2 linked regions of the Caenorhabditis elegans genome follow. The protein of the gene in region 2 purifies or fractionates together with the protein of the main gene of each other region. This does not show direct contact. Each region holds a gene or a part of one and is shown on either strand. Other genes may lie near its edges.

Region 1 (16,980 bases), on a different chromosome or scaffold from region 2:
TGTAACAGGGTGGGCGGCAAATTTTTTTGTCGACAAACTTGGCACATCGGCGAATTGCCGGTTTGCCAATTTGACGGAAATTTCCAATTCCGGCAATGTGCCGGTTTGCCTATTTGCCGGAAATTTTTATTTTCGGCAAATTGCCGATTTACCGTTTGCCGAACATCAATTTGCCGGAAGTTTTTAGAGTGATTTTTGTATAAAACGGAAACATTTTAAACTGGGCGTTTTTGAAATTTTTTCCCGTTTTTAAGATATTTTTATAGAACTTGCTCACTTTTCAAAGTAGATGTAGGAACATTCCAATGATGCATACAATTTTGCCGATTAAAATTGAAATTCTGAAATTCCCAAAAAAAATGTGCAAAACCACAGTTTGCCGAAAACTTTCGGCAATTGCTGCTTTACCGGCAAATTCGGCAGATCGACAATTTGCCGGGTTGCCGATTTGACGACAATAGCTTGGCACAACAAAATTTCATGGAAATTACCAAATCTGGATACTCAAAGGCTGGAAAATGTTAAACCCGATCTTTGCTCAGAATGTTAAACGTTCATAGAAATTTTCTGAAATTTCAGAAGAACTTCAAGCCATTTTAAATATGAAAATAAGCTCACAAACATAGTTAATTTGTGATGAGCTCATTGTGCTCACAGAGGGATTATGCGCACATCGGGAAATAACTATTCCAATTTACAGAAATTCATTCTAATTTTCAGTTTTGTGATACAATAAATGCCTTCACCGATGGCAAAGCACATCTTCAACGAAAATCCGAAAAATTCTCAAAATGGGTAAAATGTGTAGACTTTTTCGATAAGTTGTCCGATGAACAAAAAGTGAGATATTATTCTTAAGGTACTAAATTAAACAATTTTTTCAGATTGATACTGTTAAAATGTCGTTTACTGTGTTTGATAGACTTGAACGCGCTCAAATGTCTGTGAAAATTTTTGGCGAGAAGAGTATTACTGAAAAAGTAGGTTTTGATTGACTTAAGTTTGACTTAAGCTTGACTTAAGTTAATAAGGTAAAATTTTTTTCCAGAAAACCACGTTATCTTCTTATTGTGCTGTTGACTGGAAAAATGTCAAAATCAATCCAGAAACTGCAATAAATACTGAACAAGCAAATAATTATGTTAAAGCGTGAGTTTTACAGCATTTTCCCTATTAGACTTTCACCGCCAACGCTCTTCAAAGTCTTATATTTCGGTTCTCTTCAGTTTTACCAAAACATGTTCTACTGTCGAAATCTAGAAAAATTTTTTGCACGTATTTTGTTAGTTGGCAATTTTTTGCTAAAACCCAATAGAAACTATATATCAACGGTCAAAGTACATCATGTGTAATTGGGAAAATACTGTATTCATTTCTTAATGAACAATTTTTAAAGTGAATTCCACGCTCATGTTGATTCAATTATTGATGAAGTATGCAAACCACTTTATGAACTTCAACTTTCTGACACTGAAACTGCATTCATTTTGGTACAAGTTCTTGTTTATCACGGAGGTTTGTTCCCTTATAGAACCAATGTTCAACCCTTTATGTAATTTGTCTTCAGGTGAAAAAGTGACTCCTGAATTAGTGAAAATGTTCGATCAACTTCGTGAGACTATTGCCACAGATCTTCATCTTTATTATACAAAAGAATCTCAAACAGGAACTGATACAAATCGAATACTCAAAATGATGAGCGTTGTAAACGCTATGAAAGTATGCTGACCTTAATAAACTTTTAGTCATATACTATAAAATTTTCAGAAAATTCACGCAGATCGTGTCAGGAAAAGTGATTTAATACAAATATTCAATATTTATAAAGTATCTGAAAAACGAACCGATTTTAATTGTAGCTAATTTTTCTTTTTTTTTGTATTTTTTGAATATATACTGTGTTTTTGTGTTTTCTTTTGGTGTGTTCTTTTTTTTCTTTTTTTTTTGCAATTTCCCAACAATTCATTTTTCTCATACCATAAAACGTTGTACTATTAATTTTTTTTGTTAATTCGAAGCTCAAAATTTGAGTTCAAGTTAAAAAAAAAACTTCATGTAGAAATTTTCAAGTGATCTTCAGAAAAGGCGTTTGTGGTCGGTTAGAAATATATTCATGGCAAATACTCATTGACTCCAAAATCATTGACTACCTGTTCTCATTGTCTACCCTTGCTCATTGACTACCCTTGCTCTTTGTCTATCTCTTTCTCATTGACTACCTGTGCTCATTGCCTTCCTGTTCTCATTGCCTACTTGTTGCTCGTTGACTACCTTTTCTCATTGCCTACTCTTTCTCATTGCCTATCTTTTGCTCATTGTCTACTCGTTTTCTACATCAGTCAAGAGGCACGTACAAGGACCGTATTTCAAGAATACATCAAAGGCACATATACTCAATTTGTTCATTTCTTCAAAGGGTATACATATTTACAATCTTTCAATCTGTACACAACGTTTCGGGCAACAATTAGTAGTAGCTGAGTCATGTTTTAATTTATATTAATTTTGATAGGACACGAAAAGGCTGCCGTAGTATCAGACGTGTCAGACAAGGATGCACTGGAGTTGATGGTGGCTTTCGATCTAAAAATGAAATAACCTTCAAAACTCTCTGAACTGAGTATTTTCAAACTGGCGTATCTCAAAAAATACACATCTGGAAAACAAATGACCAACTAACAAAATGATCAGAAATATAGTAAAGGGTCTTTTGAGACCCAATTAACATATAGTACTACGTATTTACTTTTTATGCAATGCAGCGCTTTCATAAAAATAATTGTTGACTGACTTTTTACAAACAATCGTTATTTTATATTAACTTTATTTGTCTCAAAATTAACAAACTTTCAAATTTTTAAGAATTGTTGGGAACACTTAATCGATGTAACCTCCCCATGCTAAGTACAGAAATTTTATGTTTAGCAGCGAGAGCAACTGCAGAAGAAGCCGGTTCAATTTGTGGAATAGGAATGGTTACTCTTGTAAAGATACGCAAGATTTCCCGGCGATAGGGTCGGATATGGTAAAGTGAAATAATAGATGATAAAAGTGGGATTGGAGCAGGAATTGCACATATCAGACATTCAAAAATTGGGTGGGTAATCAGCCGGATTGCTTGGATAAAAAAGCAGAATACTCCGCCAACAAATAAAACTGGAAGACAAGCTTGCAGCGTCAATGCTCTCAACAGTTGCTTGTGGATGGATTTTGTTTCAGAACGTAAATTCTCGGTGTTTTTCCCGAGACGGCAAAGAATTTTCCTTCGAAATACAAGGATTGCAGTGTAAATCGCAAAAACTGGAACTGTCATGTTTAGGATTGAAAATGTAGCAGCTGGAGATAATGCATCGGATATTCCCGTAACAGTTGAAATTTCAAATGTATAATCTGGGAACTTTGATTTCAACATTCCAAAAATCAAATAAGGATCCGCGGCGGTGAACATTAGCACAATGAACTGAGTGAATGATGGAATGTATATAAAAACACTGAACATGAATACTTTCCACGTAGATGGGGGAGCAGATGAGAGTATATAGTTACGATATGCAAATGATAAGAGTAGTGACCACATTGAATGTATGAATAAATGAAGAAGTGCACTCCAGGATGCGTAACATAAAAATGGATGTCCAAAGTGACAAAGCCCATAAAATATATGGGCCATGGCATAGTCGAGTGGTATGATTCTGAAAATTTATTCACTTGGCTTTAAGGGGTTTCTAGATTTTCTTGAAATTTTCAAAAAAAAAAATATTTAAACTAATTCAAAGTTTAAGTTTGCAAAGTTATCCCGGTTTAGGGCACAGACTTCGGATTTTCTCTTATCCGGACGTTCTGCCCGCTGTCAAAACCGGACGGTTTTCGGAAAAAACTAGTTCTCTCGATTTGCCACCCTTGTCGAGATTTATGTTTTTCTGCATGAAGTTGTAAAAAACTAGGTCTTACCTTGGTGCACAGAACATCATTAGAAATGAGGAAAACATATCCGTGAGTGCAAAGTTGATGATTAGAATTCGGTAGGTTTTGATTTGAGACGGAGATCGGAATATTGCTAAAAGCAAAAGAAGACCATTCAGGACTATTCCGAATGCTCCAAGGATGGCATAGTAAATCATCAGAACGATAACTTCAATCATCCTGAAAATGTTCAATGTTTAGTGTGAACCTTGTTAGAATGAAACAAAAGACGTAAACAAAGAAAAAAGGAAACGAAATGGATAAATGCAGTAGCGTGAGACGAAAAACAACGTGTTTGGCACATTGTACCCTTCATTCTTTAATTTGAACTTTGTTCCCAAAATTTTGCGAAACAAAATTTCAACTCACGTGGTCGCCCGTGGTCAAGCGTGTATCAGAAATGGTCATTCTTCTGACGATGTATCAGAAATGGTCATTCTTCTGACAATTGGCAACCGACTTGTCTCCGAGAGAACTGCAAATCACTCAGCAATCTGGACACATCAAATTGCTGAACAATTCCGGGAGACGTATTGTGTTTGGAGTGAGCACGGCGCTTAAAAAAGCAACAAGTACTCCGACAGGAGTTCTGGATCCAAATGAAGCGGCTCTTTTCACAGTGAAGTGTGATGGAAAGGATGTAAGTGGGGAAAGGCATGAGCGCAAGGGTGGTTGAGTTTTCGGCAATTAGAAGATTTGCCAAAAAAGGAGAATTGTAGTATAAAACTTTAACTTTCTATACATTTCGGAGCGTAGAAATGTATTCCGTTGAAAAATTTTAATTTTTCAAATTAAAACTGCCCAAAACTCAAAAAAGAAAATTGTCGAAATTGCCGAAAATTCAAAACCCGGCAATATGGGCCTACGTGGAAATATCTCCCACTTTTTATCGATCAAGAAGGAAGTTGATGTTTTAAATTTTAAATTTCAAAATTTATTTTAAAATCGTTGTGAAACGTATGACTATGCAAGCTTACCCGATTGATAAAAAGTTGGAAGCAATTACACGTAGCCGCAATGTTTCATTTATTAAAATTTTCAAAATTTTCAGCAAAACGACCGTATCACTATCATCTACACAAATCCTCCAGATGGAACCGACAAGCAGTATCGATCCGAATACTTTCTCCGTGAAGACGCTCTGATCGTCAGAAAGAATCTCTCGACACGCTTTGAGAAGATTACAGCTGTACTTGCAAAATTCGAAAAGGCTAATTAGTTTGTAAATGATATTTTTGCTTAAAAATAAAGTCTGTGTCTTGATTCCGAAACAAAAATGAAAAGAATGACAATGTTTGCAATTCTTTTGGAATTTTTTCGTCAGCGGATTGTGCAGCAGCACGTGGTGATCGTGAGAATGCTTGATCACTTTTAGCTGTGGTCAAGAATGTGTAAACTGGGAACATCGAACACATACTAGAATTTAGTCGACTATGAAATCAAGAGAATATATTTAGATTTTTTTCAAAGATTAAAAAAGGTTTAAAAAAACTTTTTTTTTTCAAGATTTTATGAATCACTTTTCAATCATACTCGGAAGTTAGTCATGTTTTTGTCCCGTTGCGTTTTTGAAAAACTGGAATCTGGAAAACTTAGATTATTGGAGGAAAAGTTACACAAGAGGGTATTTTTTCGAATAATCAAAATATGACAATATATAATAAAAGTTGAAATTTTTGGAAATTTTTGGAAATGTCAAAGTTTCGGTTAATTTGAACAAACATTATGTTTAGAAGTTAAAACATTTTTTTTTTAATTTCAAAAACAAACATGAAAAAAGGTTGAATTCCGGCATTAATGAATTCTCTAGTTTTTGGCATTTTTGCATTTTACCTTATATTAATTGGTTTTTGTTTATGTTATCTTTGATTTTTGATTTGAAAAACATAAATTGACAAGGTTTTATAATTTTTTCCGCAAAAAAAGATCAAATTAATAAATAAATTAACATAGTCAGAAAATGCAATAATTTTAAAACCCCTAGGTTATTCATTTGCACGAGAGTTCTAAATTGATTCAGTCTTTTTATTTATCGCAAAATTGAAAATAAAATTAGAAAAATGCTATACATTAGGGTGATACGGTTAGATTTGGTACAATGATTCTGTCATTTAGGGCAAAAAATCCATAGGTGCTACTCCACCTTCATATTCCCAAAATTCAATAATTATTCAACCTTTTCCAAATATCTCTACCTCGATCATGTAATAAGATAAATCGTAATGATTACGCAAATCCAAATACAAACATTAAAGGAGACGCACGCATATTCTGTCATTCATTAGATAATTTGGAGAGAGGCGAAAAGATATTTGAACAAATAATAAATGAATGTGTCAAAAGTTGAACGGGCACATTTTGATATTCAACGTTTTCCAAATCAGTGAATTATGAGCTTTATCAGTGCGACTAAATTCGTAATATTTTTTGCTGCTTCAATAAATGCACAAAAAGTTGAACAAGATCATTCGGTTCGTTTTTTTAAAATTTTATTGTGTTCACAGGAAATTTTCAGGTAGTAAATAGAGTTTCAAATATTGCGGAAAAATACAGTAATTGGGCTCTAGGAAAATCAGATTATCGAAATGGAAATTTGAATAATTTTCAAGTCACTCAAGTTCAAAGTCCTCCAAGAAACTACAATACAGGTGAGGGTTTCAGATAACTTTTGTAACTATTTTAAAACTCACTAGTTTGTAGTCAAATCTAGTAGCTTGCCTTTTTTTAACTTTTTAGAGATTGAATAGTGTTTTTAACTCAACACTTTTGCTTTTGAAGTTTAGTTATAAACTAGGCAAGACCTAGTTTAAGCTTTGCCCAAATTTAAATGTTGAACAAACTTCTCTCGTGTGGTTTTAAACTTGCCAAAATATTGCTCAACTCTTTCTTACCTGTTGCCTAAGCTTTGCCTAAGTTTGGCCACCTGTTGAACTAGCTAATATTTTTTTGACAAAACTTGGCCAAGAATCTAAATATTGGAAAATACCTAGCAGTTGTAGGAGATTATTTTTAAAAAATTTTCTGATTTATCACATCAGTTTCAAAAACTATACCTATTTTGAATTTCAGCTCCAGTAAAACGATTTTTTCATCAAGTCCGAATCCAGCCGCCTCTTATCATCAAACCTGTAACTTATTCGGAAACATCTTATCAACCAATTGACATCTACTCAACTACACAAACTCCAATCCTGACAACTCCACCATATCCTTCTCGGATTTCTCATTTTCCAACTGAAAATCGTCAAATCTTCCGATCTCCAGTACGACAACATTACCAGCCATCTCCAAATTTTCCAAGACTTTTGGAAACTGAAGTACCAGTTTCTCAGTCATCTCCGATGTTTACTTCAAATTCTTCATTACTCCCACCACATATGTCTCAAAACTTTGGCTCTTCAATATTAACACAACTTCTTAACCCAATTCTACAAGAACCTAATATTCCAACAGCGCCTCCAAATTTACAAATATCACCTCAAATGCACATTAATCCAAATTTCCCGACATTAGTTCCATTACCAATTCCTCAACCGGTAGTTCTTGAACCGACTAAAGAAGAAGTGATGAAAATTGCATCGAAGAAGAATCTATACGGAATGCCAAGATTTCCAATCGAACCTCACCGTGGATTTTTTCAGGTTTGATATATATTTATTAAAACTTCAAACATCTAAAACCGTTAGGCATCAATGAGCTGCATGGATGGCTGGTGTGGAAATGAATGCTGTGAACCGAGGAGACCATTTGCAGCACCTACCACTACGATCCAAGCAAGCGTGCTACCAGGTACAGTAGAAGGGGTAAAAAAATAATAAATTTTTTTTTTCAGGCTCACCAAGCCCACCGCATCCCCTGGTTTTAGTTGTACATCCCGCACCACAGGCACAATGCTCTCCGGCCTGCCAACCTCATTGTAGTCAGCAATGTGTTGCTAGACTTCAATATATGCATGAGTCACAGTTCTACAACCACATTTTGGAGCCAAGTTGCCGTCCAGATTGGTATGATTTTTTATGTAACTGAAAATTTCTTCCATATAGGCGCCAAAATGCGTGCCTTGCAGATCTTCTGCTAAAACACATATTTAAGAACTTTTTTCATCTCGTTATTTGACTTTCATTAAATTGATTGCTATCAGAAAGTTAGTACTTTAGTAAATTTAGTAAATTTTTAAGTAAATTTATGTCAAATTGAAGGAAAAAGGTCGGCAGGTCTCAGGCAGGTAAATAAAGGCATTTAGCTCAGCCAACCTCCTAAATTCGTACAATCCCATAAAATTTTTTTCGAATTTTCAAAACGTCTAAATATAAAATTCGAAAAAAATTTAATTGAATATTTTCATTTAATCAATAATTTATGTTCCAGTATGCCATCCTGCCACGTCGATTGCCTCATAATTCCTCCACAGCAAGTCCGATGCAATAGCTTCAATTGTCAGTGTTTGGCTGGCTACGTGCAATGTGCCGCATTTACTTGTTGCATGAGATACCCGGTGAGAATATCCGTTTGGGAAAATCCAAACAACATGTATTTTCCTTCCAGAATCTGGCTGCAAGAATGAAATCCAACGTGATGGCAAAGTCATCTGAAGAAGAGGTGAGATGGAGGAAAGAGTGTAGTGCCAAAATTGAATATTTTTAGGCAAACGTTAGCGAGGAGGGGAAACAAGATAATGAGATCAGCTATCGAAGAATGTATACGCCTAATAGAATGAGGGCTGGAAAGGGGAAATACGGTTGGGAATATCAAGGGGACATCATCTCGAATCAATTGTTTTCAGACATTGAGAATGTGACATCACCACCAGTTATTAGACCTTCTTATTGGACAAAACATCGAGTGAAGTCAACGAAAGAACCAAAAACTACAATATTCACAACAACTCCAGTGCCATGCCCCACGACCACATCTACGACAACAAGTGCAACTACACTAGTTCCAACCACATCTAGTTCTACAACTACTACAACAACTACTACACCAGTACCCGTTACATCTACAACAACTGAACCTACTACGACAACATATACAACTTCAACTAGTACTAGCACCACAACTACACTTCCACCGACAACATCCACCCCAAAAATTGTGGTTAACCTAACTCCTATCTATCCGGATATGTTAATGAAAGCAAACAAAGTTCCAATGATACCAGCCTACGGAATTTGGACAATTCCGCCCCATGTACCACCCTCTTCAAAAGAATTTGATAACCCATTGAGTGGAATAAAAACCTCGCCAACTGAAAAGCGGAATTCTATTGGTGATATTCGCGGGAGACATGTTATCCGGTCTGAAAACTTTTTGGATGTTCTCAGTGAGCTGGCGCAGGTTTGAAATTCACTTCATGTATCTATCCTACATACAATTTTTAGGTGAAGCTTAAAGAGGATATAACGGATGACTTTTCACATGCAGCAAATTTCATCGATTTTATGACGGACAGATTTAGCAAAATTTAGGAAAATTTTATAGCTGGATATTGAACTATTGGACTGAATTTATGTATTTGTACAAATAAAATATTTCTGAAAATCCGAGAGATTTTATCATGAACATTTTCACATTCTAATGTTCTAGAAAATGGAGTGCGGGATTTTTTTTCACCATTTTTTTGGTTTCTTCACTGATAAAATCAAAAGAATTGTTGTTGTTGTTGTTGTATCTGATCTTAGAAACTTTAAAAAAAAGTATTATTAATTATTTGTTTACAGTTTGGTCATTCAAAAAATGTCATTTTTCAGCTATATAAACATTTTTAAAGCCTTCAGAATTTTAAAAATATAAATCAACAGAGTTTAAACTGATAGAGGTGGAGTAGCGCCAGTGGGGAGAAAACCAAAACGACCGAATCTCATAATAAAACACTCCAAAGTTTTAGATTTTTCATAATTTTCGGCCAAGTTTTGGATGTTTGCCAAAATTTTGAAAAATATGAGCTTTTGATGAGATCCAAAGCACTTTCGCTTATTTCGACCCTTACAATGTTATTTTATAAATAATTAAAATAAAATTAAAATATAAAACATGTTGGAACATTTTTTTTTTGGTCGACTTCCAAAAATATGAGTGGCAAAAACTGGGCAATTGTCACTTTTTGACAGTAAATAAAAAAGTTTCCAAACATTTTTGAAAAGTTTTATTGTGATATTCGGTCATTTTGGCACCATAGGAGTAGTTTTTACACTTTCCCCACTGGCGCAACTTTTTATTGCATTTACTACACTCGCAAGGAGTTACTATAATTTTAACTAATCCTTCATTCAAAGATCTCAGTGGTCTAGAAAAGTGCTTTCTACAATAGTTATCATGAAAATTACATACGTGCCGGACGTTAATCAATCAATCATGTTTGCCTTATTACATCCATCACATAAATTACAAATTAGACACGCAACTTGTTTTTTTTTTCAGAACTCTTTGATCAGTCCTCGGGAAACACCTGCATCATTTAATCTTTTTTGATTTCCTTATTTCAATAGATCACGAATAAGTTGATTCCAGGAAATCACTTTGATGTAGGTGCACAATCTGATCCCGGTGTTTTATTTTTGTTAAGGTTCAAATGATCATCCTGTGTTATTTATTGGTGACAAGACTAGTCATGCAGGATTTTTAAAACGTGGGAAATTGTTATTCGGATGTTGTCTAACTAGGTAAGTTTTTTGAGAACAAAAAGTAAGTTACGCTGGAACAAAAAAAATATATTGAGTTAAGTCAGGAACATGTGTTAGGCTTTTTGGAAATTCAATTATGGGTGATGGGTGGCGATAAGAACAACGTTTTCTGGTACTCCATGCGTTCTGAAAACTGATGTTTCTTCAAGTTTTTTTTAAAGCTTTGTTTGGATATTTTAAAACCCGTTTTGTAGTTTCAGGTGGAATTTCAAATCACTTTGTAAATGTTATTAGTTAGGCGCGTATAAACTTTTTTTCATAATTTACACCTGTTACGTAACCAAACTGAATGGAACATTTTTCGGACAAGTTTTTGAAGTTACTAGAAAGTTATGCATATGAAAAGTATTCCTCCAGTCATCGTTCGAACGATTTGATGACGTAGAAAGCTAAAATTCAGCTGTTTAGAAGGTAGTATTTTTAATTGATTTAGGCTTGTTGATGTGATTATCCTTTTCGTGGGTGTTCAAAAAGTTTTTTCTCATTATTAAATATCGTATTTGTAACATTATTAAGTAAAATTTGAAAAGTTTCAAACAACGTTTAGAGTTCGACCTGTAAATATTATATAATATGTAATTTTGAAAATATTTATAAAATGAAATTAGAATTATAAAAATACAAAAATAAAGAGTTTTTAAATAGCTGTGGTGTAAGTCTATCTCGACAATCTATCTCAAATACTCAGCTACAGATTTTAAAAAAATCAAATATAAACAATCTCAAATGGTAAAAGATACCCATTTAGACCTTGAAAGCTTCTCCGTTACGTAACTCCAAATGTTTTTTATTCAAGAAAAACAATAAAAAATTTCAAATTACAGCTTCGCATCTGCAATTATCCCTTATTCTCGGGTTCAGGTACCTGACCATTTTCTACTTAAATACTTTTGTCTTCTATTCATATTGATTGATGCTACTGTTTATAATATTATTCATTATGAACAAAACTTCAATAATTTCCTTCGACTATCTTGAAGAGGTAAGTAGAAGCATAGTGTTTTTTTTTTCAATTTCCGGTGGCATGTATACTATTTTACATATTTTTCCTATTTCCGTAGTGCAACTGATGTAAAAAGCACAAAAAAGTAGCAAGTTTGATCATTTGGGTGTGGGAACAATGACCAACTCTCACTATCAGTGAATATGAGCAAGACTCAGTGTCCGATTTTGATCTGAAAGAGAAAATGTGACTTTTGGCTTTTTTCACATCGCTACACTTGCATTGTCTCTTTCTGTCAATATTTTTTTCGATTTTTTTTTGGTGTGTCAGTTAATTATAGAACCACAACTCATTACAGATGGAAGAACTACCAGATCCTGCAATAAGAACTTGTAACTATCAATTTAATACTGTAAGTACTCAAGTTGTTATGTACGTTCTACAAGTCGGATATGCCCTCCCTGTATCTATTCTGTACCTTTTCGTAATTCTGAAAATTCTTAGAGCTCACAAGTCAGAGCAGATGTTTTCAGATGCATATTTCAAAATTTATGTTCTCGATGGAGTTGTGGTGGGTTTTCATTTGGAAGGACCTTCTTGGACCTGAACTTTTACGTTTAGAGCTTGATAGTAGTTATCTTGGACTACGGTCTGACTCGTCCATTGATATATATTAATCCTTTATGCTTTTTATTCTGGAATTGGTTTCCGGAGCCAACATACATTTTGACGCCGTATTTGTTTGGATTCAACTATTTTCAATTCGCAAAAATCTTCTCCATATCGCTATTGTCGGCTAACAGATTCACTTGTGTTGCGTACCCAATATGGCATAAAGTGGTAAGACCTATGTAACTGAAAATAGCGTTAGTATGTATTAGTTTTATTTCGATTTTAGCTTTTCGTATTTTTTGGTTAGTCTTGTGCTTTACTTTAACAGCTTATTTATCGGATGACTTTGGCTTTATCAAAAAATTTCAACATGGAAAATATGAAAAAACGTATTTAGCTGTTGAAAAGGTTTTGATAAATTACAAAGAAAAATAATAATAAAAAAATGGTTTTGCTTTCTACGAATTTAATTCAAAAACATTGTTAATGAAATATTAGTTCGTAGAACTGTGGAGCGACTTTCCGATAATGATGCCGTTGACTTAATTTATTTAATTCCTCATTTGAAATACGGAATTGAAATCTTCATTTGTTATTAGTACGTAACACATTTCCATATTAAATTTAGCTTTAAAAAACAAGAACTCATTAGTGCCATTTTCTAAGAATACCTGTCTGTTTGTAATCACTAAAATCAAAAATTAAAGATTGGAATCAAACACATCTCTTTACAGGTTTTTGGTTTAACTCAAAAACGGTTTGGTAGATCAAAAAATGCATTGAAATTTTGAATTTACAGTTTTGGAAAAAGCACACCAATAACGTCATTATTGTTTCTCTGATATGCCCTGCACTTTTCACGTGGCAACTTGCAATCTCACCGACTCGATTTGATCCTTACGTTGGCGAGGGAATCTTGGGATATGTGAAAGTTGTACCTTTTGTAAGTCACGTCACTTATTTCCCAATAGAACGAAGATCCTTAAGGTGCGGACAACATTTTTCAAACTAATTGTCAGTCTTTCTGCATTTATTTTTATGTTGATAACAAATATCAAAACATATCAACTCACAAAAAAGTTCAAGAATAAATTGAAAAGTTTGGAGTTATCTCTGACATTGGCAACTGTCGTTATCAGCGCAGTTTTTGTAATTTATATTATTATTCAAGTAATTTTTTGAATTTTACATTACTACAGTTTATTTTAATTTTACAGGCGGTTTTGCTGATTTTTTCCACTTCGTTTCTCGTTGAAAATTTGTCCTTTGGTAGTACTTTAAAGAAAATAGAGTTCATCTGCAACGATTTTTACCTAATGAGGTATGTTTCATCAAAGATTTTAATTTGCAGAATTTTAAAAAGTCACATGACATAGTTGACGCCAAGCTCACAACAAACATCACTTTCAATTTCAGCTCTCCAATAGTTCTTATTATAATGAACAAACGACTACGAGGTTCTCTATTCAAGGTGGCTCCTGGAATGACACAAAACTCATCAGCGCCTAGAATGTCTACAACAAATGAAAATACTGTTAGGATTATTGTAAAATCACCACCAGCTAAAACCATTACAATGTGGTAATTGAAATTTGTTTTTTTTTTGTTTAGTAAATAGTTTTTTGTCGTATTTTCCTGTCAAAGAAAGTCTTCTTCTTATGTCCAGGCTTCTTATTGAAGCCAATATTACTGTACAAAAGATTGGTAAAAAAATGTGTTTGGGTAAAAAAAAAATTTTGTTCGGAAATTTTTCAGGCAAGTTTTCAAGCTCTGTAGGTATTTGGAAAAATGTTTTGGAAATTGAAACAATGTGGAAACTATTGAAAAATTAAGCAGATATTTAAATACTCATTGAAACATAAAAATAAAACTGGAAAATACCATTTACACACGTAAAAATATTTCGATTGTTCGAAATGTAGGAATCGATTCCAAAAAGGAAGAGTACAAGCCAAATACAAAAACTTAATTTTTTTGGAATTTACTTCAAACAAACTTTTTCGCCCAAAATTAAGATGGTTTGTGACCTTATTAACAACCCGATGTATTTTAAAGAAATATTTTTGTTGAGAAAAATTATTTTTCGAAAATATTTTTCAGAATATTTTCGAAAGCAGAACGTGCCTTTAAAGTACCAAAAAAATGCTCTGAAAAAAAATTTAAAGATCGAATTTTTTTTGCTCAAAGAAGACCTTCGCTGCTAAATTTCTCATATTACTAAAAAAATTATCTTTCAAGCGGAATAAGTTTTATTTGAAAAAAAATGTGAGTCAGTTTGTGAGCTGAAATACTTCCTTTCTATTATAAATAAATATAAACATTTTAATGAGTTGGTTGTAGTATGAAAGGCGCTCGGAGTACGTTGAATCTAAAAATATATTTCTCAAATTAAAAGTTTGAAAAAAGTACAAACCTCAAAACATATGGGTCTCGGTTATGGTGTGTGGTTTTGCAGAAATCTCGATAATTTTTTTACTGGAGTTTGAATGTCGAAGGGAGCAGTGTAGAATTGATTTTCTGATTTTCTTATCAAGAATCAGCAACACCACGGGTCCACTGAAAATAAAAAAAAATTAAACCATCAAAAGCGGATAATTTCACTCACCTTAGCATGTAAAAATCATTAACAAATTGTGTAGCACCCAATAAAAATGTGCCCATCCATGGATTTTGTACCATGGAATCCAGTGGAACAAATAGTTGCATCACTTGTACAACTAACATCAGTGCAAAACCAATTGAAACAAATATTGTAGCAATAGTCAGTGAAACCTCGACTCTTCTCATATGTCTTCCAAGTTTTGACAGTTTGCAAGAAGTCACAATACTAGAAAAAATAGTGAAAAACAGTGTTGAACCTCCAATTAAAATCCGTCCGTATGAAGTATGCGCCCACGAAAATCGATGTTCGTACATTATCAGTCCTTGCCCTTTGTATGGTTGAAAATTGGTTTTTGCTATTCCAACAGGCCAAACAAATAATAATGGAACAGCTAGAACGGCGAATATTACTTTCGAAAAGTTATTGCTCCACATCTAAAAATTCAGGTTACCCGTTCAGTGATAAATGTAATTTTCTACCGGTTTATGCGCCAATGGGTACATTATAGAAGTGTATCTGTTGATACTCATTGTTAATGTTGATAACATTTTCGATAGTTGTAGATACATGTATAATGTGAAATATGGTGTTAAGTAGTAAGAAGGATCTTTGAAGTTTGATAGGAAGTATTCACACGTAGGTCGTACATAAGTGGTTTGACGAATTAAAGAGATATCGAGAAGCAAAAATATAAGAGTCTGAAACTAAATTTTTTCGTTACTTTTTCCCAATTAATATGATTATCAAGTGGTATTATTATTTGAAAAAAATAATTTAAAAATACAGAAAACATAAAATTATGCTGCACCTGAAAGGTGACACATTTTTTTCCCAATTATCTTGTTTCCTTTCGGTTTTCCAGTGAGTATATTCCTATTTACCTTTTATTTCATACAAGGAACATAATTTTTAGTTCTTTTGCTAGAGAGACCCAAAAACTTTTTAGATTTTCCGGTATGACCAAAAAATTTTACAAAAAAATTTTTATGGGGCTCCAAGAAGAGCGAAAATAACTGATAGTTTTCGTAGTTTATCAAAACTCTGAAAACTTACAACTGCTCCATCAACCAGATGAAGGGCGAAAAACGAGTCTTCAAAAACTTCATGATGACCTCTTCTTTTGACAATTGCAATCATAAAAGATAAATACAATAGTCCAAATGGCATTAAATAAGATAATTGTAAGCCAAATTTTACGTATTGGGAGAAATCGGAGTCCCCGGAATCACAGCTTATTTTATCCCGAAGATAATCAATAGCATCGTCGATTTCAACCATCATGAGAATATAATGGTTGAGTTTTTGAAAATGATTTTTGAATGTACAATATGCGAGCCGAGTGGGAGTTTTTAAAAGTTTCAAACCTGTTCAGTGATCCGTGAGTTGTAGATCTTGTTATGGCACGTATCACCAATGATTAATTAGTGAATGGTTACAATGCTTTCATATCAATAGCGGAGGTGTATTTTTAATAAATTGGATTTTTTTAAAAATTTGTAATAATAACTCAAACTTTCGTGAAAAGCAAATGTGCCTGACCTGACTGTTTGCCATAAAAGCCGCCTGTTCCTAAATTGATTGGTGGAATAACTATTCTATGTTTCTTACAGTAAAACCATCAACGACGTGTAATGTGAAAAATGAGTCCTGCAGAATTGCTCTGTCTTTCCTCTTTTTTATAATACCGTATAAAAATGAATGCCAAAAGGAATTACATATGATAATTGAATACCATATTTTAGATATTGATATAAAATATTTTCACCAGAATCACAACTAGAAATATTTCGAAGAACGTCATTAGTAAGTTTTCTGGGTTTGTCATATCTCCAGCTTCCATTACGTTTTGAGTGAGGCTAGGAGAATGGTCAATTCGATTCAGTTCGATGAACCAGCACTGTGCTTGTTTTTTGAATTATTACGTGAAATTTGTGAAGGTGCACAAATATATTTGATATTCCATTCTTAATTTGTAGTTTGATTTTGTAGTTTTTTCAAAGTAAAATTTTCAATTTCAACGCGTCAAAGTCTTGATTTTATTGGTTTTATCAAAAATTAAAAGAAAAACATAATATTTACAAATGAAAATACATAAAATATAATTTACTTCAAGGATGGTGTGAATGGACCATAGTTATAGGTTGAACTGAAACTTTTGTGGTCCGAGTGGAGCTTTT
Region 2 (16,980 bases):
GCGACACTCCACGTCCAGCCATTTTCATTTTATGATAGATACATTCGTGTTCGGTAACCTGAACATAATCGTTTTGTTACAAATTTATTTTTTTAATTGAATTTCATACTTCTTCGCGGAAATAATAACGATCAGTGTTTGTGAGGTCGATCCACAACCCAATCTTTTTTCCGTGAAGATGAGGATGTGAAAAAACTTCTGCCGGGTGGAATTGATACCGTCTTTCGGCAATTTGATTGTCATACATTTTACACAGTGGTGTTTTGAATGGGAAAAACAAATTATTGATAAGCTGAAAATGAGAACAATGAACAACCGAAATCTCAGATTTTGCACAGACCGTTCCGGTTTTTGGACAGTGCAGCCATCTATCAGGCAGTCCCATTCTCGCTTTGTCAGGTGTTGGTCCTCGTGTAGCCATTTTCAGTCAATTTAAGGCAATAACGCACAGAAATCGATGGAGAAAACAAGGAATCCGATAAAATGTTTCGCAATTTCGCTAACCTCACGAAACGGACGCGTGCTGGCGCACTTTTTGACAGCTGGCGCACTTTGAGTGCAAGCTTACGCGTTTCCAGTTGTATTTTGGCGAATTTAAAGAATTTTCGAAGTGTTTCAAAATAAACGTTTGTTTTTTATTAATTGAAAGAAAATACTATATTTTTTAACTCCTTATCTATATTAAAGAACATACATCCTCTGAATTTGTTCAAAAAGCTCTTGATCGGTTTTTGAATGCCCGTTTTTTCTTATGCCAGACATCCTTTTGAACATTTTCTCCTCAATTTTTTTTACATCTATTTTTCGTGTTTTCAGAGATGTCGAACGAAGATGTTGCTGAAGACGTTTCTCAAGTCACCGACTTTCATTTCCACACTTGCCGGAAGTTTCGGCTTTTTTCATCAAAGTCAGATGGGTACAGTCAAAATGAGATAAACATTCGAAACCGAGTTGCTACGTCATCTCAATTGGGAGTTACCTTTGTAACAGTTAATTCTAATCAGGTAAAATTATGACTTGTTCAATCGTTTTCAAAATTATTTTTCAGTTATCATGCTTCCATACAAAAAGTCTTCTTGGTTACAAAATCACCCGAGAAAATATGAACGTTGAAGTTACGGATCTACCAATAAAAACAATTCGTCTTCATGGGGTCGTTTTAATCAACGACATGGGAGTTAATTCTGATGGAACAGTTCTCGGAGTTCTTCATACTAAAAACAATGACGTTTCTGTCGATGTTTTCGATATTAAGAAAATTTGTACAAGTTCAAGCATTGAACCCTTCAAGCCGTTGTGTACTACAAGAGTTGGAACTGAACAAATTAATCAAGGAAGTTGTCTCGAGTGGAATCCTGCTTTCCCAGATACATTTGCTGCTTCTTCAACAGATCGTAGCATTTTAGTCGCCAAGATTAATGTTCAAAGTCCTGCAAATCAAAAACTTGTTGGAATCGGAAAATTTGGTGCTGTCACCACGGCAATCAGTTGGAGTCCAAAAGGAAAACAGTTGACGATTGGAGATTCGCTGGGAAAAATTGTGCAGTTGAAACCCGAATTGGAGGTTGTTCGTAGTCAGCATGGACCGGAGAACAAGCCGAACTATGGAAGAATTACTGGTTTATGTTGGTTGGCTACAACAGAATGGCTGGTATCTCTTGAAAATGGAACAGATCAAGATGCTTACCTAATGCGGTGTAAAAAAGATAAACCAACCGAATGGATTCAATTTCACGAGCTCTCGTATTCCTCTTCCAAATGGCCTCTTCCTCCTCAACTGTTCCCAGCTACTCAACTTCTTGTCGACTGGAATGTTGTAATTGTCGGAAATTCGAAAACAAGTGAAATATCAACAGTTGGAAAACGAGATGACTGGCAAACATGGGTTCCTGTTGAAGGAGAAAGTATTTACTTGCCAACTACGTCTAGTGGTAAAGATACAGTTCCAATTGGAGTTGCGGTTGATCGTTCAATGACAGATGAGGTTTTACTCAGTACGTTATGTTTTTTACGGTTTCATTAATTTCGAAACTATTTTTCTACAAATGTATTCATTCTTTTCAGATCCTGACGGCTCTCAGAGACATCGCCCATCTCCTCTCGTACTTTGTTTAACAAACGACGGCATTCTCACTGCTCATCACATCATTAGCACATTTGCAGCTCATATCCCTTGTCAAATGTACGTAGTAATAAAATTTGATGAATATAATAATATTATCTTTTTCAGGTCCAGTCAAAATTTGGCGATCAATGACTTAAAGAAGCTCCAATTTGATTCACAGAAACCCATATCTGCTCCACCTTCTGATCAGACACCCGTTACAAAACCGTCTACGGTGTTTGGGCAAAAACCAGAAGCTGAAACTCTAAAATCATCTCTTGTTGGATCTCCATCATCTGTTCAGACACCTAAACCTTCATCATCACTTTTTAACCCTAAATCAATCGCAAGCAACATTGAGACATCACAGTTAACAGAATCCAAGCCATCAACTCCGGCAGCTCCAAGTTCCCAACCAAAAATTGCGTCAACACCAAAATCAGAAGCAATTCCGAAAATTTCAGACAAAACTTTGGAACATAAAAAGGCTGAACTGATTGCAACCAAAAAGCAGGTTCTTATCGAAAGAATGGATAAAATCAATGATTCAATGGCTGGAGCTAAAGATGCTACGATGAAATTATCATTTGCTGTGGGAAAAGTGAAAACTACAATTATGGAATGTGCTGATGTGGTTAGGGCATCATTAGGAGATTCTAAAGAAGTTATGGACGAACTGAAAAATCTAATTTTGTCGATCGAGCGAATGTCTGACAGAACACAACACACGGTGAAGGAAATGGATTTTGAAATCGACGAAAAAATGGAATTAGTTGCCGGAGTGGAAGATGGCAATCAAGTTTTAGAGAAGCTCAGAAATATGTCAGAAACTGAGAAGCTGATGAGATTCAACAAACTGGAGACTGCTGCCGATTTGTTAAATGGAAAATATGAAGAATGTAGCGATTTGATTAAAAAACTGAGAATGAGCTTGTCTGAGAAGGTTTGCATCGTTTCTTTACTTTTACTTATTTTAATATAATTTTTACAGGAGTCACTTCGAAAACAGGCAATATTGTCACCACTTCGTCTCAGTTCAAATCTCAATCAACTTCGCTCCGGTAGTGAAACCGAGTTGGCTCTTAAAGTTATGCGCAACGTCTCAAAAATCATCATGGATACCCGAGAGCAAATTCAGCGAACTGAATTAGAATTTGTCCGTTTCCAAAGGGACGTCAAATTTCAAAACTTCAAGAAGGGAAAGGAAAATCTGAACTTCACGCAACCACTGGAGATGAGTAGTCTAGATGGAGACGCTCCTCAAGGAAAATCTCTCACTGATGCAGAAAGTATCAAAGTAAGACAAGCACTTGTGAATCAAATTCAAAAACGAGGAATTGTGAAGACTAGAAACGTCATCGTGGAGTCTTATAAAAAGTCAGAAAATTCGGCAGCAATGAAAAATGATTTGCTCGATACTTCAAATCTTTCAAATGCAATTCTCAAGTTGAGTATGACACCAAGACGAGTTATGCCATCTTCTTCACTATTCTCTGCATCTCCATCTACACCATCCACTAAATCAGATGCAGCAACTCAAGCCGATGAACCTCCTATTGTTAAAACTGTCGTGGTAACAGTTGAATCACCAGCAAAGCCAATAGCTTCTGCTCCAGCTGTCTCTTCGCCATTGATAAAGCTCAATACAACAACTGCGACCACAACAATGACGACACCAAAAGTAACAGTTCCAAAAGAAGAAGCAAATAAAACACAAGATCAAAAACCAATCATTTCTACGCCAGCATCATCTTCCATTTTCTCTTCGGGTAGTTTGTTTGGAACAAAAACACAAACACCTTTAGTTTCCAAAGAAGAGTCTACATTAACAACTGGAGTGCCTTCTTTGATTAACAGTTCCCTGAGCATCAGTCCACAAGAAATCGAAAAAGCATCCTCGAAAGTGGAGACACTGAATAAAACTGAAGAAGTAAAAGATGAAAAATCTGAAAATGAAGTTACACCTGACTTGAAGTCTGAAGAGCCTAAATCATTAGAAACAAAAGTGAAAGAGGAGCCAAAACCAGCTGTTCAGACTCCAGTGAAAGAAGAGGAAACGGGAAGTAATATACAAAAAACACCAAGTTTTTGTAAGTTCCTTTTTTGTTGTTAAAAAAATGAGTTTCAACCAAAGAATGATATTCGATTAAATCGATGTAATTATATGAACATTATAAATGTATTGTTTCCATACTTTAATCAACTGAAATTTAAAAAAATTACTTTCAGCGTTCAACTCAACAACTACCCCAAAGTCGACTTCCTCCACCTCATCGATCTTTGGCGGTGGTCTTAAAACTCAAACTCCCAGCTCTTCCAACTCAACAAATATTTTTGGAGCTCGAACCACAACAACGGCCACCCCTACACCTGCATCGAACACGTCAAGTATTTTTGGAGGTGGCTCAAAAGCAGCAAGCTCTCCATTTGGAAGTTTTGGACAGGCTGGTTGCCAACCGGCTAAAACTTCGAACCCTGCAACATCTACTGCTTCTGTGACTTTTTCGTTTAATACTGGAGCAACGTCGGCATCAGCAAAGCCGGCAGGGTTTGGATCTTTCGGTGCAGGCGCCTCTGCTAAACCATCCTCCGTTTTCGGAGGTTCAGTGACTGCGCCTACAGTTCCAAATGTGGATGATGGAATGGAAGACGATTCAATGGCAAATGGTGGAGGTTCTGGAGGTTTTATGAGTGGACTTGGAAATGCGAGAACATCCAACACTTCTGGTGGAAATAATCCGTTTGCACCGAAGACGTCAACTGGGACATCAGCCAGTAGCAGTTCATGGCTTTTTGGTGGTGGTGGTAATCAACAACAACAGCAACAGCAAAAAGTATCGTTTCAAGAGTCTCATTGTATTGTAAGCATTTATTTCCTATTTCAGCCGTCGTTTTCTTTCAACACTGCCGGATCGTCAGCTCAACAAGCATCTGCACCTGCAACAGGAACGTCGTCAGTTTTTGGAGGAGCTCCGAAATTCGGATCGCAACCAGCATTTGGTGCTAAACCATTCGGAGGAGGGGCGAATGCAGGATTATCTAAAAATGCTTCAATCTTCGGAGGAGCAACATCTTCCACAACCAACAACCCTGCCACTGGTGGATTTGCTCAATTTGCATCAGGCCAGAAGACTTCATCTTTGTTCGGTGGAGGTGCAACTCCACAGACGAATACTTCTATCTTCGGTGGTGGAGCTAACACAACTCCAGCTCCGACATCTTCTGTGTTTGGAGGAGGAGCATCTGCCAATGCCAATAAACCGACATCTTTCACATCATGGCGATAATATATTTTTAATGTCTAACATATTGATTCATCAAACTTTAATTGTAGTTTATAGTCCATCTCCCCAATTATTTTCCCAAGTACTTGTTTTATTGATTATCTCGGACCGGTTATTTTGTTGTCTGTCGTGTTTTTGAATATTCATTTTCATAAATTTTGTCAATTAAGCTTCTTTAGAATTATCTATCCTTCAACTTCCAGGGGCGGAAACAAAGCCAGCCGAAAACACTCCTCAAAAATGATACATATCCACAGATTAAAACGAACGGAAAGCAACTTCATTTCAGAAAACTAAAATCTCCTTTAAAGGCAATTTGACATATATGACACTTTGAATAAAAAGTGAAGTAATTTTAGATGCAATTCAAAAATCTTACAGTAACTGATAGTGAGTATCGGAGATGAATAAAAATGCAAGTTAAGAAAGCAATATTTAAATACAAATTAACCAGATCTGAAATCGCGTTTTGTTGTATCGGAAAGGGGATCGACCATCGATTCGGTAGCTTTCGTATCAGTGTTTATCTGAACAAAAAGTTGATTATCTACAATCATAGGGAGATACAGACAAAACAAAAAATAATTAAAATCAATCTAACTTATGATTGAAAGTATCACTTACCACCCATTTCAACATCTCCACTTGCTCCATCGTGTTCCATACTTTCTTCTCCGTTCTTTTGCTCCGTTCCGTCATGTGCATTCGCCATTCGTTCGTTGAAGCTCTCGTTCAAGTCAACTTCTTCAGTATTGGGACCCGTCTCATCATCGTCCTGAATAACAGTAAATTATTATATTCAGATAATGCTAGATTCTACCCACCTCTTCCTCCTCGTCATCATCCTGCCCATCATCATGCAATGGCATAAGATCATCCTCATCGAATACTTTGTTTGCCTCTTCATCAACCGGCTCGGCGACTGGATCCTCATCAGTCCACCGAATTGGGAATGTGGTGACGCGAAGATCTTCGGTTTCGATTTTACGGGAAAGCTGAAAATTTTTGAAAATTCAAGGTCAAAACTGAATTATCTACATTTTTTAACTGAAGGAACTTTGAGATTAATTTAGAGCATTTCACTTTTTCCCTCTTTCCACAACAGATGGTTTATTACGTCATCCCATACAGTACATCTGTGTGCGTGAGCCCGATCGATGATGTCCATCTGCTCGACAGGTAGCGTGCACAACGTATTCAGTTCTCTCATTGTCATTGTCTCACTCTCAACTATTTTTCGTTCTTTATTTTTAATTATTTCATTAGTTTCATTGCTCGTTTAATAATATTTATTTATTTCCTTCAGATTGTGAAAATGAAAGCTACTGCAGCGCAAAATAATTCAACTCATGCTAGTGTAGCGACCAAAAATAGCAACTACAGAGGCGCTACATACATTTTCGACAAAGCTATCGGAGGAATTGTTTATGCAAGTTTTATAATTGCCGGAGCAATCGTCTTCGTTGGAAGTAAGGTGGAGGGCTTTATTGGACTCGACGAAAACCGTTCTGACGATCAGGAATGGACTGTCATTAGACAATAACTGGTGCTTGATTTATCAAAAATAATTTTGTGTGAATGACTTTTGAAATAAAGTGTTTTTTTCCTGAAAAGAACAGAACCTTTTCGATGAGCGGCTTTGCAGGCGGATTCTCTTTGAGCTCTTCGTCGGTGTACTCATTTGCCACAAACCATCCCATATTGATGAACTCCTGATCGTTGTACTTGCAACGAAGGAGAAGCACACTGACACCAACAATATCCTCGACTGGAATCTTTGAGATATCCGGGTGTTCTGCATCAAAGACAAACTTGTGACGTCCTTCAGGAATCGGGCCAACGAGCGCGGAATCGAGAACTTGGTCGAAGTCTCGGGAGGTTCCAGATCCAACGTACACCAATTCCCATTCGAGATCTGATTATTCTTAATTTTTATGCAGTGTAAATAATATACATACCATGTGGTAAGTGCTCAAAAACTTCAAAAGTGATCTCCATTTTGAACTTGTCGACAAACATCGCTGGATTATCGAGAATTTGGACTTGAACGATGTTAACACGTGAAGCCATCTGAATAAAAAGCTCAAAATTAGAAATTAGAAAGCAGATTCATAAACTGTTCAAACGATAGTTTTTAAAAACGAGAAACAAATCAAAAATCCCGTAAAAAGTGGTTGAAAACTCCAGCTGGATCCAGTAAAATAAAATGTCGAAAAACTTTTTCCAACTACCGTAGTTTTTTTGCACAGACGAAGGCTAATCGTGGTGAAACCCATTGAGAAACAAATTCCTGTTTTTTTTTTGTTTTTTATTCGCAAAAACGTTGACTTTATTTTCTCGGCTTTAAAAGGCAAAACTAAAGAAAAATAATACATTGAATTAGTAAAAAATTAATTGTTTTCAAATTATAGAAATTATTAAAACGAGCAAGTCAGGACGAAAATTAGAATTTTTGACCTCTCCAAGATGCGCGAAAATTTATTTTTCATTTTGTCTTTCTCAATTTCCCGTTTCACTCGATCCTCGACTTTATTCAACAATGGTGAGCCATAAGAAAAATGATCGTCCTCGCCCATTGTGGATCTTGAAAATCCATAAACGGCTTAGGTAAGCATTCAGAAGTTCCAATATTTCAAAAAGTGGTAATTTTTAGCTTGTTTGAGTTCAAGCGTTATGCAACAGGAATTGGCAAAGACGACGGACAAGACATCTCGTGGGTGCTGAAAGGAAATGCAAAGAACAATGTGTATCAGGTGATTCATTTTATTTTATATTTCCTACAAAGCTAACATTTAATAGGTTACTGTTGAAACTATGGAGAATTGTGAAACGGACGAGTGCAAGAAAGTGATCTGGGTGCCCGATGAGTTGGCAGAATCCACCGGAACGATGTTCGAAGATTTCAAGGAAGACCAACCTCAGGTATTTGACAAAACTTGTTTAGAATATATGTCAAGTCTGGAATTTTTCCAGGAATCTGTGTCTTCGATCAGTAATAATGAAGCAAATTGGGGGAGTTCTGTGAATGAATTGGACGAAAATTATGAAAAAATGCAGAAAGAGGAAACATTTGATCCATATGATTCGGATTCCGATACATCCGAGGATTCCGACTTCGATGAGGATTTTGAGGATTCTGATAAAACGATGTGTTCTGGTCAATCATGAAATTAACCATTAATCGAAAAACTTCAAACTCAAAAACGCTGTGAATAATTTTTTCAAGAAATAATGTAGTTTTAAATATTGTGATATACTAATGTGATATAAGAAATCTTAGTTTCTCGTTCAGATTCCCATTTATTCTCTCGAAGCATTGAATATATATATATATATATATTTATTCAAATCGTCGTAACAAAACAGAAAGTATAGAATAATCACCGGGAGAAACAGACTTGAATAATTTGAATGATCCTGTAAACCAAAAGTAGTTAAGGGGATCAAGTTGTGTGGGAAAAATAATTAAACGGGATAGAATTTAATCGTGATGCAAACATTTGACGGCTCATTGTCCCCGGAAGTAACTTGGACATACGGTTCCATAGGTGAAGATTGACTAGTAGGAAGCTTTCGTTGATTGATCCACAAGGGCACATCATGTACGGATATCTGGGCGAGCGAGCCTTCCTCACAGTTGATGCGGCATTCGGAAAGTGGTATTCACCAGACAGGATGTTGTGATAGGTCCTCAATATTTGAAGAATCCGCAGGTGTTGAACTGACTTTTGGTTCATCTGAGCTAGACGGTTTTCATATGATGAGTATGATAGATTGCAGCGTTGGAAGACTTTTCTCGAGAAAAACTTCAGTGGGAACTCCAGTTGTTTAATCATATTTTTAGAGATCGGGTTGTAGATTTCACATCCGTAGTTTAATATTGGCTGCACATAGATATTGTACAATTTGAAGTAAAGGCTGGCATTTGTTGAGCGGAAGGATCGAAGTAACTGCCGGCATTTGAGAAGGGCTAAGTTCGAAATGATGTTTATGTGCTTCTGGAAGTTCAGCTTGTCGTCGACGAAGATTCCAAGGTCTTTCACTGAGTCCTTTTTGGTGACTTTCATTCCGTTTGCATAATATTCATTTTTTGGATTCCGCTTTCCAAAGTGGATAACATTGGTTTTGTTTTCAGCAAGGTTCAATTTCCATTTTGCGCACCAATCGGTCACGACATTGATTGATTTTTGAATAGCGCTGACATTGTCACCAAGTAGCTTGATATCATCGGCGAATATCATGAAATGATTTTTATACTAACAAGTACAACATTAACCAAAAACATAAATACATACAAAAAAAAAAGAAATTATACAGACTTCCAGTGATTAACCAATGCTTGCGGGTTGTTGAGAAAACTAGACACTTGATCTCGTCCATCAACAGTAATAACTGTTCCGTTTGGCTTTATTATTATCAATGTTGGAATCGCATTTTTAGTGTTGAACTGCTGTAAATGCTTGCTTATTGGTGAGTCGAATGGCAAATGGAACCAATCGCCATGAGAACTTTGCAAATAATAATTCATCTCCTGTTCACTCCTGTCGCTTGAAATAAATAATATCTCGAAATTCTTATCTACTTGACTATAGAATTGTGCGAGAATTGGTGTAAAGTCACGAGATGGTTGACACCAATAACCGGAATAATACAATCCAATAACCTTTCCATCGAGCATTCGTTCAGAATATGATCCTGATGGATGTAGATGTCTGAAGAGAGGAACATTTTGGAGAAATGTACAATTGTTCATCTGCTCCATTTTGTTTGTTTCTTCTTTTTGCAATTTTTTTAATGCTCTCGATTTTTCCTCACGCCTTTTAATTTCAGCTTGTTCCGCTTTCTCCCTCATTTCAGCTTCTAATTTAATTTTTGCCTCTTCATTTTTTCTTTTCATTTCCATCTCCTCTTCCAAAACCCTTTTTCTTTTTTCTTCTTCCTTCAACTTTCGAACTCTTTCTGATTCCTCCGCTTTCCTCCTCTTTTCATCCTCTTCTTCTTTCTTTTTTCTTTCTTCTTCCTTTTTTCTTCGTATTTCTTCTAATCTTTCTTCCTCTTCTATTCTCCATCTTCTTTCATATTCCATTTGAACTTCTCGTTTAATTTCATCTCTCGTTCTATGCGGAAAATAGTTTGGTGCTGATTGTGAGTGTTCAATTACGGTAACATTCCGAATACTTGCACCAGATGAGTATGCAGATGCCAATATTTCTGGAGGAATTGGAGAATGTGAAGAACGGGATCTTATCAAATTTATCACCCGGTGTTGCTCTGATCTGAAAATTAAATTCAAGATTTTCCTTCATTTCATTTGCAGGTTGGGTATGAGGTATTTATTTCAAAAAGCAAGAGAAATACTATTCAAATAGGATAATAGATATATCACTAAGATTAAATATGTCCGTTTTGAAGTACTTACCTCTCAAGCATATGAGATCTCGATTCAAGAAGTGAGAGCATGTTATCAAACTTTCCAGAAAAACGACCAAATTTTCGTTCAACAGTTTCGAGCACTTCAATAATCGACATCATGTGGCTTGATCTAAACTTTCTATTCCCAAAAATTCGAGCAATTAATTGACAAATACTTTGCTCAAGCTTCTCTTTGTAGATCCGATTTTCCTACAATTGTATTTTCAAAATAATCATTACAGAACCAGACTCACAAGACTTATATTCAAAAGCAAGGCAACAAGAATATTCAAATTTGCCAAGCATTTTTCAATTTGTGGCGTTTCGACTGAAAACAAATTTTCGCAATTCACAAGTACTTCCTTCTTCGTTTCATCGTTATCAAGCAAAGCGTTTATCAGTTTTAGTAAATTTCGATTGTTTGAGTTTTCATATTCCCAAGTTGCCTGCAATAAAAATGATTGTAGAGGTGGAATGAAAATAAAAAGATTCATAAATGATTCAAAGTGCGTTTTCAATTTCAACTGGGAAAAAATATCAAACAATTAGATATCTAGCTAGATAAAAGTATAGAACAAAAAAGTTGGTTCTAGTTCTAGTCGAGCTCTAGCACGAGTAGCGCATATTTTGTACTTCGTTTATTTTGGCAAAATATTGTAATATTTAAAAGTAGAATAGCATGAATTTGTCCAGATAATAATAAGTTAACTATAAAATAACCAAAGAAAAATACCCATTTTTGGTCGAGTTCCAAAACTGGCGAAAGTGGCAAAAACTTGGTACTTGCCATTTTTGACTGCCAATAAATTTCAAAAGAAAACATTTGTTTCAATAGTTTTAATATGATATTTGGTTAAAGGACTGGATTTTAACAATTCCCCCATCAAAATTATTTTATAATGTGAGAAAAAAACTAACAATTTCAATAATCATTCCAAATGCAACATTCTTCTGTTGTTGATCAAGTTTTTCTAGAAGTGTTACAATCTCCGATGACCAAAACGTTATTTCCACTTTCTTTTTCAATTCGATAAATTTTTCACAAATTAATTTAATCTTTTGTAAAGCGAGAGAATTGTTAATTGAACAAATCCATGATGCATTATTCACTTTGTAGCGAATTTCATCATGAGCAGCAGTTGAACTTAAAATTCGAACTTGCTCGAACCCAGAACTCAGAAAACTGCAAACTTTCTGCTCTCTTCTTCCAAAATTCGAGTTTTGAATTCTTAGACCGTTTAATTTGTTTCTTGCTGATTCCAACTCAAAATGCCTTTCCTCTGAACTTAGCTTCTCATTTCGAATTTCTTCCAATTCATTATGATTGTTATATCGACTCAAACCATCTGTCAGTGATGCAATATACCTGAAAATAGTTATAAAGTATTTTATATGGGCACAATCACTAACTTTTCCTGAAATTCAATATCTCTACCAACAATGAATTGCTGAAGTTCAATAGATTCCAATAACTTTTTCTTTACCAATTCGATGAGCTCTTCTTGAATTCCAGAGACTACAGAAATCTGAGCAAATTGCACATACTCATCATTTGCTCTTTCTGGTGGATGATCATTCTGAAATAAGCTATATTTTATTTAATGAACTTCAACCGGACATGTTAAGCCTACCTTGTAGGCATGGCTTTTCTATAAGAGAACACATTTCCAACTCTTTTTTTTTGAATAAAAATTGAATAATTTCACAAAATTTACACAACTATTTATAACCTAGCCTACCTCAGACACAAGTTCGACAATTCTAAGAGGTGTTCCGTTGTTCAGATCATTCATTTTTTAAACACCAAATAAGTGGAAAAAAGATTGAAGACACAGAAAAACGTTTGTTGCAGAACCCGGAGGGTTTATCACAAAAATGTGTGTTGAATTATCGTAAACAACTCTTCGTCTTAATAGGCCAACACAGAACAAATAGAAAACTATGATAAAAGTTTATCAAAAGTTGCAATTTATTTTAAACTCAAAAAAATGTAAAATATTTTATTAACTTATAACAATTACATTGTAATTTAAAACAACAAATTGAATGAGACATAAAACAAAATTTACAAGAAACTGTGAAGTTAGCAGACAAAAATCAAAACTCTTCATGAACTATTAATAATTCCAAACCACAAAATAGAAGTGCAGATCATCACATTTGATAGTTGCCAAAGTTCCATCAGGTCGTTTAATATTTCTACCATTTAGGCAATCTATTTTCTTTCTGAATAAAAATATATTGAAAATAGATATAATAAAAGTGATTCTAGTTTTGAAATAATCAATTCTCCTATTTTTTTTTTAGATAATTGGGTGACTATATAACGGCCGTAATCACTACTATATTTTCATATGATAAAATAAAAATTCAGTAATTGTTTTGAACATTTGAAACCAATACAAACTAAAACTAAAAATCATTATTCAACTCTGATGAGAATCTCAGGCATATCTATTTAAACGACACTTCTTCAGATTAAAAAAAAATGAAAAAATAAAAACGTACTCCTCATCCTCATAAAATTGTGTTCCGGAGTTCAAATTCTTATCAAACAGTTCATATTCAATTCCATCGAAAATATTATTTCCATCTTCCCAATTCCATCCTTTGCAAAAACTAATTGAAAGCCTTTTGAGCTTCTTTTTGTCAGTTTTCATCCAAGTTTTGATAAATGAGTTCAGCCCTATGCCATTTATGTTTGGATCCTCCAGATTTATAGTTTCACAGTGGAAGTTCAAAATATTCCGATTGGTAACCCATTCGGGATATGTCAGACTCAGATGTGTGATGTTGACTTCCTGAAAAAATGTTCATTCCGATTTTTTTGTTTTCTTTGCAGCTTCGAAATGGTTGTATAGTTATTTACGGGGTTTGTCAAAACTTCAATTTAAAATAAATGTTTATAAAACCTATAAAACTCAAAAAGTGTCAAATAGTTCGGATGTGAGGCGTTTAAAGGATGAAAAATTCCCATATAATATTTTGGTTAGTTGGAATTTTGCAATTTTTGAAACTTCAAGTTTATTCAATTCAACAATATTTTCTCAATTTGTCTGAAAGTCTAATAGTAAGTTAAATTATATATAGTTTGATTTCAAAGTGATTTTGAATTTACCTTGACAAACTGAAATGATCCTCGAACTGCACAATTTATGTTTAAACAGAACAAATTTGGATTCTGTAGGAGATATTCCAAAAGATCTGAAGTAATAGCCCCTCCGGATGGGATAGATAATGTGTTGCATGAAGAAATTCCCTCCATTTTCAATAACTTCAATATTATCCCAGTGATATTTGGTGTACATTGACCAAAGTTTACATGATGAATTGATCCTGTGAACAGGTTAAGCAGATGCTCCATTACTGAGTAGAAAGTGTCGATGGGATCCATTGTGAACACTTTTATTGTGGATTTATCTATTTGACTGTAAATTTCAAAATTTAAAAATAGAGAGTATACTGATATGGATTATCCGCAGTTAATTATAGTTAAAATTGGCATTTTGTAATCAAGCTGAGTTTCATCAGTAGGGACTTTATATACAAGCTTTTTTCAAGCAAAATTTTTGAGAAACTAGTTTAAAAAATATATTTTTCCAGCTTTACTGTCCATACAATGTTCTAGTAAAAATTATTTAAAATTAATCAAAAAACTGTAAAAAAAATTTTTGGACGAGTTCAGAAATTTTTTTATTTAATTAATTTTACTATGCCATTTGATCAATTTAGCACCATAGACATAATTTTGAATCGTTTCTACACAATTTTTGAAAATAAATTGAAAATCTTACCATTTAAGCTCTCGTTCCCCAAAGACTCTCGAACAAGTCTTCGGATCCCCTGAAAATTCATCGAGTTCTTCTAGAGTTCTCTGATATACAAAAATGTGAACAAAGCTTCTTTGAAAGGGTTTGACACCAATTAAAGCCTTGGCAAGATTATTGTTTTCTGAATAAAAAATTTGATTAAAGTTGGAAACAAAAGTTTCATACCACTAGTACGTCCGAGTTCTTTGCAATTAATATAAAGCTCTTTGATTCGAGTTTTGAATGATGATATGAGATGAAACCAGGCTTCTGAGCAAAATGAGAGCTCAATTCTGAAAAAATAAATTTTAATTTAATTTAATTTAATTTATTACGATAGTAAGATGCAAGTGTTGTAAACTAAATCCTTAAAAAAATTAACACAATAAAAAATAGTACAATTTGTAGGCAACTCTGTAGAGAGCTGAATATTAAAGTAACTTACAGATCACGCGGATTTAAATTTTTTGCAACATGTTCAGTGACGTCATTTGGTAGTTGCTCGAGCTCCAAAACCATTTTTTAAATTAAGAATATGTATATGATTAGAAATATATTAAAAATTTTTCGATTTTGAGCCGGAACGCTAGAAAGGCAAGGAATCAATACAGAGAAGACAGGAGAGATGAGACAAAATAAGAGAAGAAGAGAAGTGTAGAGTCGAGGGATTGGAAAAGAATGAGAGACCCAGAGAAATTGTACCGGGGGTTTGGAAGTCGTTATGATACATATTGCATAAGAGTTCCGAGAAGAAAAAATATGTTTGATTGATTATTTGAAGGACAGAAAGTTAATAGATTCTGAGAATCCAGTTTCAAAGTTTAGATTGTCAAGAGCAAGAACTTAAAGATTTTATAAAGGAAATTATAATGTATTCTTCTCGTTATAACGTTTCAATGAAAGGGCATCAAACGTGCAATTTTGAGAGAAAATTGCCATTACTTTCAACTTGGTAGTCAAGCCTTGAACAAATGGAACAGATATTGATCAGACATTCCAAACTAATTGACATTCCAATAGACTGATAGACATGTACACGAAGGTTTCCACGAGTTGTCGCACTGTCCACACTCAGTTTTATATCCACAAATTCCTGTAGGTTTGTAAACTGACCTCCCGGTATCTATTTTTGGTGGTAATTTTGTCAGTCCCACACTATACTCAAATTTTCCGAAGTAGTTTTTTCCTTCCTCGTGCAACTTAAAAGGAAAAAGAGTTTGGATATGTCAAAAGAGATTACTCATCGGTGTCTTTGATCAGTTTCAAAACGAATTGATAAGAAATGGAAACCTACAAACACTATCAAATTGATCTAAATACATCTTTTCCAAAAACAAATGTTGAAACTACAAAAAAATAATGTTCAATGATTTATTTTTAATATTTAAAGATTTCGAATTTGAGTTTGTTTTGTAAATCTGTAAACATAATTTCTTGCGTTAAGTTGGACATTAGAGGATAGAATTTTTGAACAAATGGTTCCAATTCCTTGAACAATACCTCTTTTTTCATAAATGCACAAACGTCAAGAACGAATTTTTGTGGACTATACTCCAGGTTTGACTATAACATTTTTCTATTTTCTCTGAACTTGCCGACAAACAATTGGCGTGGGGAACACTATTTGACAAGTTCTTTGATCTTTTGTAGACCAAACAATAAACTTGAGAACATCGTAAAAAAAGTGTTCCTAGACATTTACTTCGACGTAGGCCTCTTGAAAGCCTTAGGATTGTCTGTGAAATGATGTTTGCACGAGCATAAAACTGTATTCTCATCAGAGACCCATTATTCGTCTATTTCCAGTGTCTCCTACCCCATAAACCATTCCTTTTTATCTATAATCTCTCTATTACCTTTTTATCTTTCTTTTGCTATCTCTTAGACAATCATTTGGGGTATTCTCATTGTGGTCTACATTTCAAAGACCTTGGAAATGTTCGATATTATTCTAGAAATTGTCATTTTACTATTCAATCTTCTTATACAAAACTTGATTTCCTTAATCAAATACGCTCTACCTTATTCTCTTCTCCCCAAAAAAGATTTATATCGTAAGAAAGTTTTGATCACTGGAGCTGGAAATGGTCTAGGAAAACTGTTGGCTCAAAAGTTTGCTGCTCGAGGAGCCACTTTGATTCTTTGGGACATAAATCTTCAATCAGTCGACGAATTGAAAAACGAGATTAGAGGAAATCAAGGAGAAGTATGTGATCAATATTAAATTTTCAATTTATAAATTCTTCACATTTCCAGGCCCACTCTTATGAGGTTAATTTATGTGACCCCGGAAAAATTGCACAAGTTGGTCAACAAGTAATAAATGATATAGGAAAAGTTGACATTTTGGTGAATAATGCTGGAATTGCAA

Evidence for each region.
Region 1: the proteins of asfl-1 (region 2) and T09D3.3 fractionate together in Caenorhabditis elegans (co-fractionation; one large-scale study listed by BioGRID). This does not show direct contact.

Annotation. Positions count from the first base shown.
Region 1 is NC_003283.11:5,338,945-5,355,924, reverse strand, and holds T09D3.3 (EB domain-containing protein), read left to right. Parts: upstream 1-6,353; coding exon 6,354-6,434; intron 6,435-6,478; coding exon 6,479-6,611; intron 6,612-7,032; coding exon 7,033-7,604; intron 7,605-7,649; coding exon 7,650-7,752; intron 7,753-7,795; coding exon 7,796-7,967; intron 7,968-8,331; coding exon 8,332-8,458; intron 8,459-8,508; coding exon 8,509-8,562; intron 8,563-8,607; coding exon 8,608-8,701; intron 8,702-8,746; coding exon 8,747-9,300; intron 9,301-9,344; coding exon 9,345-9,431; downstream 9,432-16,980. Other genes in the region: nhr-216 (Nuclear Hormone Receptor family), read left to right, coding at 721-840, 885-980, 1,049-1,149, 1,397-1,515, 1,568-1,719, 1,768-1,863; srd-9 (G_PROTEIN_RECEP_F1_2 domain-containing protein), read right to left, coding at 2,858-3,692, 3,952-4,142; srg-25 (Serpentine receptor class gamma), read left to right, coding at 11,560-11,628, 11,948-12,160, 12,211-12,429, 13,001-13,144, 13,189-13,371, 13,419-13,522, 13,618-13,786; srg-27 (Serpentine receptor class gamma), read right to left, coding at 14,616-14,757, 14,807-15,237, 15,283-15,501, 15,857-16,081; srg-29 (Serpentine receptor class gamma), read right to left, coding at 16,912-16,980.
Region 2 is NC_003279.8:9,648,752-9,665,731, reverse strand, and holds asfl-1 (putative histone chaperone asf-1-like protein), read right to left. Parts: upstream 7,459-16,980; coding exon 7,347-7,458; intron 7,304-7,346; coding exon 7,011-7,303; intron 6,932-7,010; coding exon of another isoform or gene 6,704-6,931; intron 6,384-6,703; coding exon 6,213-6,383; intron 6,164-6,212; coding exon 6,013-6,163; intron 5,916-6,012; coding exon 5,905-5,915; 3' UTR 5,652-5,904; downstream 1-5,651. Other genes in the region: cel-1 (mRNA guanylyltransferase), read right to left, coding at 1-58, 110-292, 341-421; npp-14 (Nuclear pore complex protein 14), read left to right, coding at 819-1,004, 1,049-1,994, 2,065-2,182, 2,231-3,047, 3,096-4,194, 4,334-4,938, 4,990-5,391; C03D6.9 (Aa_trans domain-containing protein), read left to right, coding at 6,704-6,931; lab-1 (Long arms of the bivalent protein 1), read left to right, coding at 7,928-7,995, 8,042-8,141, 8,188-8,310, 8,362-8,556; T05F1.11 (protein-disulfide reductase), read right to left, coding at 9,698-10,664, 10,808-11,010, 11,055-11,246, 11,719-12,166, 12,211-12,377, 12,540-12,593; T05F1.13 (F-box domain-containing protein), read right to left, coding at 12,918-13,026, 13,309-13,601, 13,919-14,228, 14,595-14,751, 14,796-14,902, 15,055-15,128; dhs-4 (Short-chain dehydrogenase/reductase 3), read left to right, coding at 16,546-16,815, 16,866-16,980. UniProt on the Caenorhabditis elegans protein: Histone chaperone that facilitates histone deposition and histone exchange and removal during nucleosome assembly and disassembly.